2 linked regions of the Macaca fascicularis genome follow. The protein of the gene in region 1 purifies or fractionates together with the protein of each later gene. This does not show direct contact. Links are inferred from orthologs where the notes say so. Each region holds a gene or a part of one and is shown on either strand. Other genes may lie near its edges.

What was found. Proteins that work in one complex are often made in the same cells at the same time.
Region 2: the proteins of SLC30A4 (region 1) and PDS5B purify together in Homo sapiens (affinity purification with mass spectrometry; 3 studies listed by BioGRID and IntAct, counting the BioPlex papers as one, with this or other methods). This does not show direct contact. The link is inferred for Macaca fascicularis from reciprocal best matches to the Homo sapiens genes SLC30A4 and PDS5B.

What each region holds. Positions count from the first base shown.
Region 1 is NC_088381.1:22,024,490-22,031,975, forward strand, and holds part of SLC30A4 (probable proton-coupled zinc antiporter SLC30A4), read right to left. Parts: intron 3,684-7,486; coding exon 3,537-3,683; intron 1-3,536. UniProt on the Homo sapiens protein: Probable proton-coupled zinc ion antiporter mediating zinc import from cytoplasm potentially into the endocytic compartment. Controls zinc deposition in milk.
Region 2 is NC_088391.1:12,290,061-12,298,034, reverse strand, and holds the start of PDS5B (sister chromatid cohesion protein PDS5 homolog B), read right to left. Parts: upstream 4,862-7,974; 5' UTR 4,718-4,861; intron 4,258-4,717; exon of another isoform or gene 3,879-4,257; intron 1-3,878. UniProt on the Homo sapiens protein: Regulator of sister chromatid cohesion in mitosis which may stabilize cohesin complex association with chromatin. May couple sister chromatid cohesion during mitosis to DNA replication.

The sequences.
Region 1 (7,486 bases):
CTCTGTTGCCCAGGCTGGAGTGCAGTGGCTGGATCTTGGCTCACTGCAAGCTCCACCTCCCAGGTTCAAGTGATTCTCCTGTCTTAGCCTCCCAGGCAGCTGGTATTACAGGTGGGCACCACCATGCCCAGCTAGGTTTTGTATTTTTAGTAGAAACAGGGTTTCACCATGTTGGCTAGGCTGGTCTCAAACTCCTGGCTTCAAGCGATCAGCCCACCTTGGCCTCCGAAAGTGCTAGAATTACAGGCGTAAACCACCGCGCCCAGCCTCTTCTGGTTCTTTAAGTTACCTCTCTTTCCTTTAGGGTTAATTTTTCTGTTAGTTTAGTTTTGATCATTTTAGTTCATGCTGCTGGTTCTTCCCACATGCTGGAAGATTCTTGGTTGTCTATTCATACTTAGGGCAGAAGGATAGGGAAACTATCCTTTGTAAAAAGGAAACGCTGGAAGGATAAGCCAGAAATGAATTGAAATAATATTTTTTGGTAGAGACAGGGTCTTCCTATGTTGCCCAGGCTGGTCTCGAACTTCTGGGCTCAAGGGATCCTTCTGCATCAGCCTCCCACAATGCTGGGATTGCAGGCATAAGCCACCATGTCCAGCCTAAAATGGTTATTAATATGTGGTGTAGGGCAGGGCAGAGAACTATATTCCTTTAGGGTGAGTAGATGGAGAATCAGGATATGAGGTGGCAGAACTCTGAATTCTAGTAAAAATAAGACTTATTTTGGAACATCAACATCTACACTAATTCTCAGTTTTCCCCAAACATTTTGTTCAGTTTTTTTTCTAGAAGAAATATCTGGTGTTTTACCTGGGGGAAAGTGTAAGCTGCCCGAGTAGAAGTAGGAGTAGGAAGGGAGGTAGGGGCATAGTGACCACTGGGAATGGCTTCCCATTTATTCAATTAATCTTCCCTGTTTTCAGCCCCAATTCTCATTTCTGCTCATCTCTGTCCCTAAGCCTTAAGATCTGTTGGGCTGGTCCGGTTCCTAGTTCAGAGTATGTTCTACACATTGCTTCTTGGCTTGTTTTCTCCTTCAACCCACTCCTATCTACTTTACAACTTCCAAAAATTTCTGGAAATTTGTTTATTGGTAACCCAATCATGTAATTCTCTTTGGTGTTTTGGTACCTCTATGTTTTTATTTTAATGGACTCTCAGAGAGACAGGAATCAAATGGTGCTGTCTGGTCTACCTTCTTGGAACTTAGTACTTTTAAGGAAAGGGAAAGATTTGACTTTCTATAGAAAATTCCAGAGACACAATAGGACCAGTCAGTTCTATTGTCTCTTATTTTTACACAGTACTTATTTATGAAGAAGCAAAGTGACTATGTAGAACAAACACTAAGTACTTCTTTAATATTTAACAGAATTTTCATCATTATGGGTTCTTATATGTGTAGCATCTTCTATATTCTGTTATTGCATGTTTCTGAGGGAGTGTTTCACTGCTTTCATCAGAATTCCAAGGGGTTTATAACCTAAAAGAGTTTAAGAACCACAGGACTATATAAATGTACTCTCTCAAACAGTGTTAAAAGATTCCCATTCCATGATGATATGTTTACATTTTAGATCTTAACTGCAGGTGTTTAAATCACAAAAAAATTAATGTTTAAAAATAATTTTGAAGCTGTTTAAAAATCCCAAGGCAACCAGTAAACAAACGACTATATAATATGTTGAGAAGCAGTGGGGTTTCTTTTAGGAACACATTCTTTTTTTTTTTTTTGAGACAGAGTCTTACTCTGCTACCCAGAATGGAGTGGACTGGCATGATCTAGGCTCATTGTAACCTCTGCCTCCCAGGATCAAGCGGTTCTCCTGCCTCAGCTTCCTGAGTAGCTGGGATTACAGGCGTGCACCACCATGCAGAGCTAATTTTTGTATTTTTAGTAGATACGGGGTTTCACCATGTTGGCCAGGCTGGTCTTGAACTCCTGATCTCAGGTGATCCACCTGCCTCGGCCTCCCAAAGTGCTGGGATTACAGACGTGAGCCATCACACCCGCCACGAACACATTCACATGCATTATGCAGTAGCTTAACAAAAGAAAAACTTCACTTGGGGCTTTAGCTCTTTTGTACAGTAGCTGAGAGTACTGAGGGCTGGGGATGCTAAATAATTTTTCAACCCAATGACCTGGATAGCTACTTGGAATATCACCATTTAGGTACAGTGTCAAATTTTGCACCAGAAGACCTAGTCACTAAGTAAGAAGTCCTAGATGCTGTGGGCCGGTCATGGTGGCTCACACCTGCAATCCCAGCACTTTGGAAGGCCAAGGTAGGAGGATGGCTTGAGCACAGGAGTTTGACATCAGCCTGGGCAAGGGATGACTCCCTTGTAGGGAGACCCTGTCTCTACAAAAAACACAAAAATTAGCCGGGCATGCTGGTGCACACTGATAGTCCCAGCTACTTGGGAGGCTGAGGTGGAAGGATCACTTGAGCCTGGAAAGTGGAGGTTGTAGTGAGCTGAGATCACACCACTGCACTCCAGCCTAGGCAACAGAGCAAGAAGATCACACCAATGCACTCCAGCCTGGGCAACAGAATAAGACTCTGTCTTAAAAGCAAAAACAAAAAACAAATACAAAGAAAACACAGGTAAAGAAACAAAAAGTTTACTGCACTCCAGCCTGGGCAACAGAGCAAGACTCTGTCTTAAAAGCAAAATCAAACAACAAATACAAAGAAAACATAGGCAAAGAAACAAACAAAAAATCTACAGTCTAAAATTTTTTTAGGCTAAAAAATAACAAAGAAGATGAGGAATTGATTGATATATTAGCCAGGAGCATCAGTATTCCTACAAAATGAAATTATCAGATATTAACTCTAGTTCTTTGAGGCAAGTTTTGCTGAAGCTACTTAAATGTCAACTTTTGCATTCTGACTCTGGATAAATGTTACTTCACATAATAGTTCAGGTAATTATTTTACATATATTTTCAAAATAAGCAAAAAATTTAAAAACAGTAATATAGTAAGAAGCAGAGCTGTGTAGATCACAATGTATGATTTTAACTCTATAATTAAACTTTAATATTGTTCAAAACAGGCAAATAAAAATATGTGTGCATTTGCACACTTATATTGATACAATGGCTGCAGTCAAGCTCAGCCACACAGCATGTGATAGCTCTGCTTAAAATCTAAGCCATGGTAGCTTTGGCTGAAATATCTGAAGTAAAAGGGAGAAGCTAATGCTCACTAATGGGTTAAACCCATGTGGTTTTGCTTTGTTCAATTAACTGAAAGTAAACTTTATTCTGATGATATCTTCAGGACACAGGGAACAACGTTTGAAGATTAATGATTATCATATAATTTTATATGTGTAAACTGTTTAGCTGACTGGGCTGAATGTACCCTGGAAAAGATGTTTTTGAATAAATCTTGTTTATCTATTTTCATTTGCTTTGTTCAAACAATATATCACTGGAACGAGTTCAGTTAATCAGGGTTATAGTTCATTGTGGTTTTACTATAAAACATTATAAAACAAAAGAAACGCCAACTACCTACCTAAGCGATGAAATCCAAAGGTGAATCTTTTGGTTGGTGATTTTGATGATAGCCACAAAGCAAGCAGGGTGAGTATGATGGCGCTTAGGTCAGTTAACATATGAAGTGCATCTGTCATGATTGCTAGGCTATTTGCAATGTATCCACCTTAGAGTTACAAGTAGGAGGAAAAAAGGAACAAGTTAATTTTTTTAAAAAGCAAGCAATCAAACTAGAAATATGCAATATCCTACAAAACATGAACTTCTAACTAAATCTTTGTCCCATTACAATTAAATCAAGGTATTCTGAAATTGTATTCAAAATATTAGATACAGGTACATTTTTCTGGTGAAATATCAACTTCTTTTCTTTTTTTTTTTTTTTTTTTTTGAGAGGGAGTCTCACTCTGTTGCCCAGGCTGGAGTGCAGTGGTGCAATCTCTGCTCACTGCAACCTCTGCCTTCTGGGTTCAAGTGATTCTTGTGCCTCAGCCTCCTGAGTAGCTGGGACTACAGGCATGCACCACCATGCCAAGCTAATTCTTGTATTTGACAGGGTTTCACCATGTTGGTCAGGCTGGTCTCAAACTCCTGACCTCAAGTGATCCGCTCGCCTTGGCCTCCCAAGTGCTGGGATTACAGGCATGAGCCAATGTGTTCAGTCAGAATATCCATTTCTAGTAACACATTCTGCAAGGAGTCAATGACCTTTAGAAAGTTAAGAACCACAAAGCAAATATATATAGAGAGATTTTGTGTCTTGGTACTGAAGCTTTTGTTCAATTTACTAATTCTATTAGACAGTGAATGAATAACCATAATATCTAAATATTACAACAAAGCTGAAGAAAAGGATGTTCACTTGTTGAGGGGCATTTGAACATAAAATTAAAGTGAGGAAACCTACAAAATGTATGTTAGTTTGATATAAAATATGTAAAAATTACCTGATTCACTTAGCAGTATCTCTGAAGAGGGGTACAAAAGGTGGTATTGAGGATACAATTTTTGTTATTGATTTTCCAGGCATTTAATATATATATTATACATTGTTTCACTGTGTGTCTGTATTGTCCCATAATGGACAACCAATTTTCCCAGCACTACTCATTGAATAAGCTTTTATGTGTATCAGAATCACCTGGAGGGCTTGTTTAACTACAAACTGCTTAACCCCACTCCCAGAATTTCTGATTCAGTAGGTCTGGGATGGGGATGGGGATGGCACCTGAGAATGCATATTGCTAACATGCTCCCAGGTAACGCTGATGCTTCAAGTCTTGGAACCACACTTTGAGAATCACTGTTATAATGTACAGCAGAACTGCATGATCAGGTTAAGTGTGCTGAGCTGTGGATCCTCCTCATTCCTGGGCTAGGTGTGTAGAGACAAGAGCAGCAGGAGACTAGGGGCTGATGATCTTTTAGTCACATCCATTTACCCCAGTGTGCTCTATACAAATAGCATTTTTATGTATTCCCCAACATGAAAAAGCTGGAAAGCACCAAGAGAAGGCTGGAGGTAAACAACATGAAGCTTTGGAGTCTCAGAAAGTCTGAATGAGTTAATCTTTTTGAGCCTCAGTATACTCATCATTTTATAATGAGGATAATTCCTTAAAGCAACTCTGTCCAACAGAACTTCAAGATGATAGAAATGTTCTGTATCTGAGTTGTCCAATGGTGTAGTCACTAGTCACATGTGGCTTTTCAGCATTTGAAAAATGGCTAGTAAGGGTGGGGCACAGTGGCTTATGCCTGTAATCCCCCGTTTGGGAGGCCGAGGTGAGAGGACTACATGAGCCCAGGAGTCTGAGGCTGCAGTAAGCTATAATGGCACCAGTTCACTACAGCTTGGGTGAGAAGAGTGAGACACTGACTAAAAAAAGAAAGAAAAATGGGGCCAGGTGCAGTGGCTCACGCCTGTAATCCCAACACTTTGGGAGGCTGAGGCAGGCGGATCACCTGAGCTCAGGAGTTCGAGACCAGCCTGGGCAACATGGTGAAACCCCATCTCTACCAAAAGAATAAGTAAGAAAGAAAAAGAAAAATGGTTAGTGAACCTAAGGAATTTAATTAATTAAACTTTTTTTTTGTTTGTTTAAAGAGTCAGGGTCTCGCTCTGCCACCCAGGCAGGAATGTAGTGATGTGATCATAGCTCACTGTAGCCTCAACCTCCTGTGTTCATGTAATCTTCCCATCTCAGCCTCCTGAGTAGCTGGGACTACAGGCATGCACCACCATGCTCAGCTAATCTTTTTATCTTTTTTTTTTTTCAGGAGATGAGGTCTTGCTATGTTGCCTAGGCTTAATTATTTAATTAACCTAAACTTAAAAAGCTACATGTTGGTGACATCAGCCAAAAAAAAAAAAAAAAAAAAAAAAAAAAAAAAAAAAAAAAACACGTTAAGGACCTCTGAAAATCATCTTCACAAAAAGAATGAAAACATTGACAAAAATAGTCAAAATGAGCTTTTTCAGAACTTCGGAAGTTAGCCAAAAGCTTATACACATAGCACTTAATCAAGAAAAATAGCTGAATCTCAACAAGAACAGTTACCTTTGTGGTGTTTTAATTTGCGGTGTACCCGTTTGTTGTCCTCCAGCTCTGTGGTAGCCTTGAAAACCAACAGGCCACAATCACTGTGAAAACCTCATGTTGGCAGCCACTGGAGGATACAAAATGAGTCTGGAGCTCCTTCAATGCCCCATTCCCAGAGAACTGTCATTATTTGACCTGCCTAGTCGTTCCCTAAAAGACGTGCAAGGATGCTTTTATTTGACTGGACACTTGAAGCTGGCCTTGTATGAACAGCCCCCATCTTCCCATGCTTGTCAAAAATCAGAGGCAACTAATACTGCAGCTTCCTGAGGTAGGTAATGATGGTTCCCTGTGTTCAGAAATTTCACAATGTCTACCCTGGCATAGATCTTTTTTCCCCCAATTTGCTCTTTCAATCTAGAAATTTGTGGCCAGGCACAGTGGCTCACACCTATAATCCCAGCATTTTGGGAGGCTGAGGCAGGTGGATCACCTGAGGTCAGGAGTTCGAGACCAGCCTGACCAATATGGAAAAACCCTGTCTCCACTAAAAATACAAAATTAGTCAGGTGTGGTGGCACATGCCTGTAATCCCAGCTACTTGGGAGGCTGAGACAGGAGAATTGCTTGAACCTAGGAGGTGGAAGTTGTGGGGGGCGTGGAGGTTGTGGTGAGCTGAGATTGTGCTATTGTACTCCAGCCTGGGCGACAAGAGTGAAACTCTGTCTCAAAAAAAAAAAAAAAAAAAAAAATTATAGAAATGGGTATCCTCCAGTTACGGGAAAACTTCCTAAACTATAAACTATAGTGTTGAAGATTTCATCAACTTTGCTTTCTCTCTTTCTCAAACTCCTTCCTGTTATTTGGAGTTTAGACTGATATTCTAATTTTTTTTTTTTTTTTTTTTTTTTTTTTTTTAAGACAGAGTCTCACTCTATCACCCAGGTTTGGAGTACAGTGGTGCAATCTCAGCTCACTGCAACTTCCGCCTTCTGGGTTCAAGCAATTCTCCTGCCTCAGCCTCCTGAGTAGCTGGGATTGCAAGCATGTGCCACCACGCCCGGCTAATTTTTGTATTTTTAGTAGAGATGGTGTTTCATCATGTTGGCCAGGCTGGTCTTGAACCCCTAACCTCAGGTGATTGCCCGCCTTGGCCTCCCAAAGTGCTAGGATTACAGGCATGAGCCACCACACCTGGCCTCTAAATTGTTTTTGCCCTTTCTCTCCAATTATACAACTTTTTGCTCAATTCTATGAGACAGTACCTTAATTCATCTTCTTTTTTTGAGACAGGGTCTTGCTCTGTTGTCCAGGCTGCAGTTCAGTGGCACAATCATGGCTTACTGTGGCCTGGACCTCCTGGGCTTAAGTGATCCTCCCACCTCAGCCTCCTTTGTAGCTGGGACTACAGGCATGTGCCACCACA
Region 2 (7,974 bases), on another chromosome or scaffold:
GAGGCGGGCGGATCACGAGGTCAGGAGTTTGAGACTAGCCTGGCCAACATAGTCTCTACTAAAAATACAAAAATTATCCGGGCATGGTGGCACATGCCTGTAGTCCCAGCTACTCAGGAGGCTGAGGCAGGAGAATCGCTTGAACCCAGGAGATGGAGGTTGTGGTGAGCCGAGATCGCCCCACTGCACTCCAGCCTGGGCAATAGAGCGAGACTCCATCTCAAAAATAATAATAATAATAATAATAAAATAAATAAAATAGTAAATTTTATTAGTAAATTTTAATAAACAGTAAATTTTAATAGTACAGCAGTTTAACAATACTCTTTGTATAATTTTTTTTTTTAAGTAAACTTTTGAGAAACTGTTAACAGTGGGTTGCCTGTGGGGGGAGGAGAAAAGTAACATTTTTTACTTAAAATACACAATTCATTAAGTACTCTATTCCCCTAATAGAGTACTTAAGGCCTGCAACTCTCACCCCCGCAACCCTCACCCCTGTACCCAATCCAAGCCATCCCATATCTGAAAGCTACCTGGTAAAATTTCAGCTACTAAGGGACATATTTTGGAGATACAGAGCTTTCCTTTAAAATCTCCTAATTACTTCCCTAAAATCACCTCTGGGGAGAAAGAATCCTATCCTACCTAAGGAAACACAAACTCTCATTTCTTTCCAGGTCCCTAACCATTCTCTTCTAGAGAAAGACAACGGTCTTGGTTATAACAGCCCCTCCTTCTCCTTATGGGATCTAATCTTGGCTAATTTCACTCTCCCACATAAAAAGAGCAACCTCAACTCTTCACTGAAAAGGAAGGAGGGCCTGCTCCTCTGGAACTAAGTAACAGCAGAGTTCCTACTCTCTGGTCTGTCTCAGTTCTCATCACCTTGCTGTGGATGGCCAACCACTACTCTACACTTCTATAGGACAGGGTGTCTTCTTCAGTCCTGTTTATTACACCATCCTTGGTACTGTATGTATACAGAAGTTTAGTGCCTGTTCATTTTAACTGAATCAGGTCATGATCTGTCAAAAGAGAGAGTGGCAGGCCTCAAAATAGTTTCTTGCTTTAATCAGTCTTTCCCCCACGCCTGTTAGCCTTCAAGTTTTACACAGCTAAACCAAGTATTTCTAATTACTACTTATTATTAATGTCTAATTATTAGAACACAATGATTATGGATACTTTTTAAATCTCAAATTAAAGGCTTTAAGATTTGAACAACCAAATTTTATTCACCTAAGATTTATTGTCATGATTTTCTCACTGTACATGATCACTCATGCCAGCTAAAACAATTACAGTCTCAACACAGCAGACTTATTCTTAACTCTGAACTAACTGATGAGAAAGGATTCTAAAACCTTTTTCAACTAATGGGGGGAAATGGTTAGAATCAGGTGGCTTATAACAGAACAGTGTGAGAAAAGGGCTCAACTGTACTCTCCAAGGAGTCAGAACTGCAAACCATTTGGCAGCTTCTTAACTAAGCTTAAAAAGTAAATACATTCTCAGAGAAATTACTGGGCTTATTTTTAAACTAAGTATTTTTGGAATCTTTAACATTCCCGAACAGAAATACGAAAATCAAATAAAATGCATATTGTAACTGGAAGTGACAGATGACTTGTGTGGCAAACTAAGTTTAAAAATTAAAAAAAAACACACACTCATGTATGCACTGTATCTTGTAACAAAACAAAGGTCATACTAACTTTCCCAAATTACTCTTAGAAGTTTCACAAACAATAAATAAACGCCATGTCAAGTAATATTACATAATGAAAGAGCAGGCAGCTCCCGGAGACAGACACCTACAAGAGGTTATCTTCTGAGACAACCTAAATGGACTGAATCCTAAACAGAAATTATTAAAAACCAGACGCTGAAACAGATGGCTAACCACAAAACTTTATTCTTGGTTAAATGAATAAAAAGGTGAGAAGGGGATGGAAGGTAATGTGCTACCCTGAATTTTTATTAATAAATATTGCTAAATCCTGAATAGAACAAAAAAAAGACAATGGGGAAACTTCTCAGCTTCCAGGATATCTAAGAGCTGCCCCAATTCCACCACATGAATACGACTGTGACCTCAGATAAATCAATGAAATTAAAATCTGAACCGAATTTCTCATGTATAAGCGAGTTGGAGATCATCCTTAAGTTTTCTTGTTGCTCTCTAACACTAACGGAGGAAACATAAATAACTTTTCCAATATAAGTTATATACAGTCCATGTCATTCAAGAGTCCATAAGCCAAATCTTACTGAGCGCACTCCTGTTAGTTCTAAGGCAGTCTCTAAATTTCCCAAGAGGAATAAGCAGAAAGAATACAACTTCCCGAAATATTCCTTTCTCACAAAGTTTTGGGTATTTTCTACCATTGCATTCTTCTCCAGGGCAAGCCCTAACACAAAGTATTACTTTATCTTAGGCCTAACAAATTATTGATAAAGCCTACTCCTCAAAATGTTACTTTGTTAAACAAAGCTGCAGAACAATTTAAACAACTTTCATCAAACAGCCAACTCGGTAGAATCTTACTACAAGTAAGCTTAATACAAACATCTCACGACAAGAATCACTATCATCAGTACATGTGTCTCTAATACGGGGGTAAAAATGAGAGGGGAGAGACATAACACGAGAGAATAAAGGCGACAAGAGTAACAAAAGCTGCTGTAAAAGGTAATATAGGGAAAATCAGCCTTAACCAAAACAAGGAGAAAAGAAAAAAAGAAAAAGGGTGAACACAAACACTACCTTCCCATTTAAAATACACCTTTAAGTAAACGCCAGCTGAGAAGAGGACAATTTTTTAAACCATCAGAAAAAGGAGGAAAAAGTCACTATTTGGATAATTTTTATAAAGTCTAAAGTGCATCTTTTTACATATACTTGTAAACGTATATTAAGCACAAATCTTATTTCTAAGGAATAACGTTCTTAAAATGTTTTTAGTTTCTGACAATCAATCGATCTTAACATAAAAGGTCCCATGTAACTTTCACCTATTCACCACTACAAATTTTAATTCGGTTTTCTGCTATCACCATGAGATACAAGATTAACTGTTCCACGAACTGACCCACATACACCATTGAATACTCATTTCATTGTCCCTAAAGATGCGAACATCTCAGACATGTGTACTGCATAACGAGCTGTCTTTCAAGTCCATATTTGTGGCTTTTAACTAGTTTACCTGACCACTACATGAGTTAATATAAAAAACGTTCTGTCTGGGAACTCTGGATGGGTTAACTGAGAACAACGACTATATTGCCGTTCAAGTATTGGGTAATGACGATTTATTTACAGCTCGCCTCCTGCATGTAAACACAACGTGAGTTTTTGAAGTTTATTAGGAAGATGGTATAGGATTACCCAACTCTCTCCACACCGCAGACCAACCCTCTAAATTAAAGCTATATCCAAAGTTTCTGAAACTATTTCATCGACAGGGTAGGATCAGTCGGGGCACCACTGCCCATCCATCACCTCTTATTAAAAGTACAAGAAGCACTTTCTTCGACATAAAAAAGGGTTAACCCTTGCTGGGGTAGAGAGGCTGTTGAAGACGCGCGCGGAATGGGTGGGTAGCTGCTCTTTCAACCCTTCCCGGAGCTCGCCCCGTCCGCGGCAAGGAACGCAGCAGCCTGCAGTTCCGAAGGCGAGGGGCGGCGTTTCTGGTTTCAGTCATTCCTCCAAAATAACTGTCGAGCTACTTCAGAGTTAGCTTTCACGTCTCTACCAAAAACCAACAGCAGTAGCAGCAACAACAACAAACAAGGTTTTTCTCCGGACCGAAAACTTTTAAAGTAGCATTAAAATAACAGTGCAAAAACATTAACGAGTCACAATTGCACACCATTTTCCCCGCCGTTCCTTCCGAAAGGAAAGCTAGAACCCAGTTGTCGCCTGGGAGGAGTCCCTCCACGCCAGCGCTGGGCTCTTGCTCAACGGGGTCCTCAGGTTCCCCGAGCACCCACTCCGGGCGGCGCGGTGAGCGCGATTTCCCTCGGGCAAGCAGCGAGGAACAGCGCAAAAATGTCATGCTCAGCCCGTCCCCTGGCCCGAAGCGCAGGCCAGGCGGCGCGCGGGGAGCCGGCGACGAGGGCGAGGGCGAGGGCGCCCGCGGCCCCGACCCGCGGTCCCCGCCCGCCCCTCGCCCGGAAGGGGGAGAAGCCCGCCCGCGGGAGGATTCAACAGGAGCACCGCGCCGCCCGCCTGCCGCCCGGGAAACAGCCGCCGGCCGGCCGGGGCGCGGGGGGAGGGGCGCGGCGGCGGCGGTGGCGGCGGGAGGGCGCGGGCGGCCGGGCGGCCCCGGGACCCCAGCCCGCGCGCAAGGTCACCGCCCGCCGCCGCCGCCGCCCGGGCCGGGATCAGAGCGGCAAGTTTAATTTCCAGAGGCTGCGGCAGAGCCCGCGGCGTGGAGGCGCGAGTCGGCCGCCGGGCCCTCCCCACCCCCACCGCGCAGCCGGCCCGCGCCCCGCGACCCCCGCCCCGGGCCGCCGCCAGGCAGCCGCCCGCTGCAGCCCCCGATGCCGGGAGGCGAGTCGCGCCTGGCACCCGGGCGGGCGGCGCTTCAGCCCTGCCACACACACACACACACACACACACACAGCTGCAGTGGCGGCCACCGAAAAATGGAGCGCCGCGGCCAGAGAAGAGAGACATTTTCTTTCCGTTAACTGAATTGTTTCCTACCTCCGGGTTTCCGACTCGCTACTCCTCTCACTCCGCGGCTCTCCGGGATCCGCCGCCGCCGCCGCATCCAATCGCCTTCTCTCCCCCCTCCCCTTCCGCAGCCAGCCCGGCCGTTCCTCCTCCTCTCCGCTTCAAAATGGCGCCAAGCGCTCTTCGGCGGCTGCTCCAATCGAACCGCCGCGGACAGCACCCGGGGGCAGGCAGAGCGCGGCATGGGTGCGCAGCGCCCCCTGCCGACCAGACGGCCCCGCGCGCGCCCGCCCTCCGAGCTCCGCCCCGCCCCGTCCGCGCGCGCGCACTCCCCTCCTCAGCCCCGCCCCGTCCGCGCGCACGCAGCCACACGGGCACGCCGCCGCGGAGGCCGCGAGACTGGCAGCTGTCAAGGCGTCCACTACCCTTGCAGCTTACTAGACCTCCACCGACAAAAATCATTCCGATTGTTACGTAGCCCTATCTTTTTAGATAAAGATTGGGAGATTTTTTTAAACACTGACATTCAGCACAGGTGTTGTGCTAGGTTAACATAATTGGTATTATTAACTACTTTGCTCCTTGTTAATTCTGACCTAGTCGTCTCGGAATGCCATACAAATAGTTTTCCTACACTTTATGTGTTGTGTCTTTATTAAATCTCCCCGCTTTCCTAATTTGATGAATTGTTCATAGGTGGTAAGCTGGCGGAGACACAGAGTAATTGAGCCTGTGACGAAGCATTCTATTCCTTTGGCAGAATTGTCCTTATTAGAGGAAGACATCATCTGGAGACCACAGGGACACATTCCAGGAGGTGGGTCTCCTCCCCTCTTCACCTTTAGGGGATGCCAGTCCCTCAAGTGGGTTTAGCCTGGTCACAACAGATCACCTACCTTTGGGGAAGCTTTTCCTCCCCTGCCAGAACTGAAGAAGGGACTTCCTCCTCTTTTTACTTTAATATCATCCCTTCTGTAAGGAAGTTTCCCCCGATATGATGTATTTGGTTACTAGAATTTTGTTCCAGGGAGAATTTGTTTCAACAATGAACAAGCAAAGGGTGAATGAATGGATTACAATAGGATACTTATCAACTGAAAGAAAAGATAGGTAATGCTGATCTGTAAACTAATGTTACTGTGCACCTAGAGATACTAGGTGCATTTTCCTCTGTCTGTCCTAATGGTAATTGCCTCATTCACCCTTACCATGTAGCTGTTTTGAAGGCTATCTCCTTTCTGCACCTAGAGATACTGAGACCTCTTCATTTCCATTTTTGTGGGATTTCCTGGACAATTCCGCTTCAGTCTCCTACAGTGCTTGCTAGACCAGTATGTTGTGTTACTGTATTCCTATGTCCAAGATTTTGCCACTGAATACTCCAGGTTCTACCCATTTTACACATTCCTTGATGAAGTCCACTATGAGTTTTTTCTGCTCTCTTTTTAAAATTATCTCAGGAATTTTCTTATTTTACATTGTTGTTCCATCAGCATAAATCTTGTATGGAAGAAGAGAGTAGGATGTCTAGATCTAGAAAAACCTTTCCTCTTTGGTTGTTTTTATCTTTTTTACTTTATTTTCTTCAATTCCCAAACCTCCAAAGCCAGGAAGCAAGAAAGTTTCAGAAGAACGGCAGGATGAGAGCAAGAATTTTTTTTTTCTTTTTTTTTTTTTCTTTTTTTTTTTGAGACGGAGTCTCGATCTGTCGCCAAGCTGGAGTGCAGTGGCGCGATCTCAGCTCACTGCAACTTCCCCCTCCCGGGTTCCAGCGATTCCCCTGCCTCAGCCTCCCAAGTAGCTGGGACTACAGGCACGCGCCACCACTCCCAGCTAATTTTTTGTAATTTTTAGTAGAGACGGGATTTCACCATGTTGGCCAGGATGGTCTCAATCTCCTTCCCTCGTGATCAACCCGCCTCAGCCTCCCAAAGTGCTGGGATTACAGGCGTAAGCCACTGCGCCAAGCCAGGAATTTTTGTATAAATTATTCAGTGCTCTTATCCCCATCATTTGACACCTAGAAGCCTCAGTAAATATTTTGTTGAATGTATGAATTATTTAAGAATGTCACTCTACATCTTGTATATGGCAGTGAGTCCTGAAAGGGATGAAGGTGTCACATCAGCTTTGTGAGCTGTTTTGCCAGTTTCGCCATTAACCCGCTCTCTTATGAAACGATGCCTTGAGTTTCAATAATGAGGCCCAGAATACATATCGCCCACATTAGGCTGCTAACACCACAGGATTAAGCCCAAGAAAGAGAGGGCAGAAAGGAGATAGCCTTCAAAACAGCTACATGGTAAGGGTGAATGGGGCAATTACCATTAGGACAGACAGAGGAAAAACTCTAAAGCTTTAATGAAGCATAATTTCTAATGAAAGGGCATACTTTTATATGACTACAAGTGGCTTTACGGAAATCAGTAATATAAACCTTCATTTAAAACAATACTGTTGGCCGGGCGCGGTGGCTCAAGCCTGTAATCCCAGCACTTTGGGAGGCCGAGACGGGCGGATCACGAGGTCAGGAGATCGAAACCATCCTGGCTAACACGGTGAAACCCCGTCTCTATTAAGAAATACAAAAAACTAGCAGGGCGAGGTGGCGGGCGCCTGTAGTCCCAGCTACTCGGGAGGCTGAGGCCGGAGAATGGCGTGAACCCGGGAGGCGGAGCTTGCAGTGAGCTGAGATCCGGCCACTGCACTCCAGCCTGGGCGACAGAGCAAGACTCCGTCTCAAAAAAAAAAAAAAAAAAAAAAAAAACAATACTGTTTGGGAAAACTAAAATCTAAAATTGATATTTGAACAAAAATAATCTTCTGTGTTTGGGATTTTTAAAAATAGCCAAGTTGCAATTCATTAGCATCAACATAATTGGATGTGACATTATTTAAGACAGTTAAGAGTGTGAACCATTCAAAACTCAGTTGTGAATGCTTTCTACTCCAAGAAAGAGAAATTATGTGGGAATTATGTCCAAATGCTGGTTTTAAACAGAAATGGTTAGGAGAATTGTCTTTGATTATGAATAACCACAAATGTAGTTCCCACTTCTACTAATTTTACATTGCCACTATAACAAATCATCACAAAGTTGGTGGCTTAAAAGAGCACAAACTTACTGTCTTACTGGAGTGCAGAAGTTTGACAGGTATCTCGCTGGGCTAAAATCAAGGTGTTGTCAGGGCTGTGTGCCTTTCTGGAGGCTCCAAAGGAGAATCCATTTTCTTACTATTTCCTTCTAGGGGCTGCCCAGATCCCTTGGCTCATGTCCTCCTTCCTC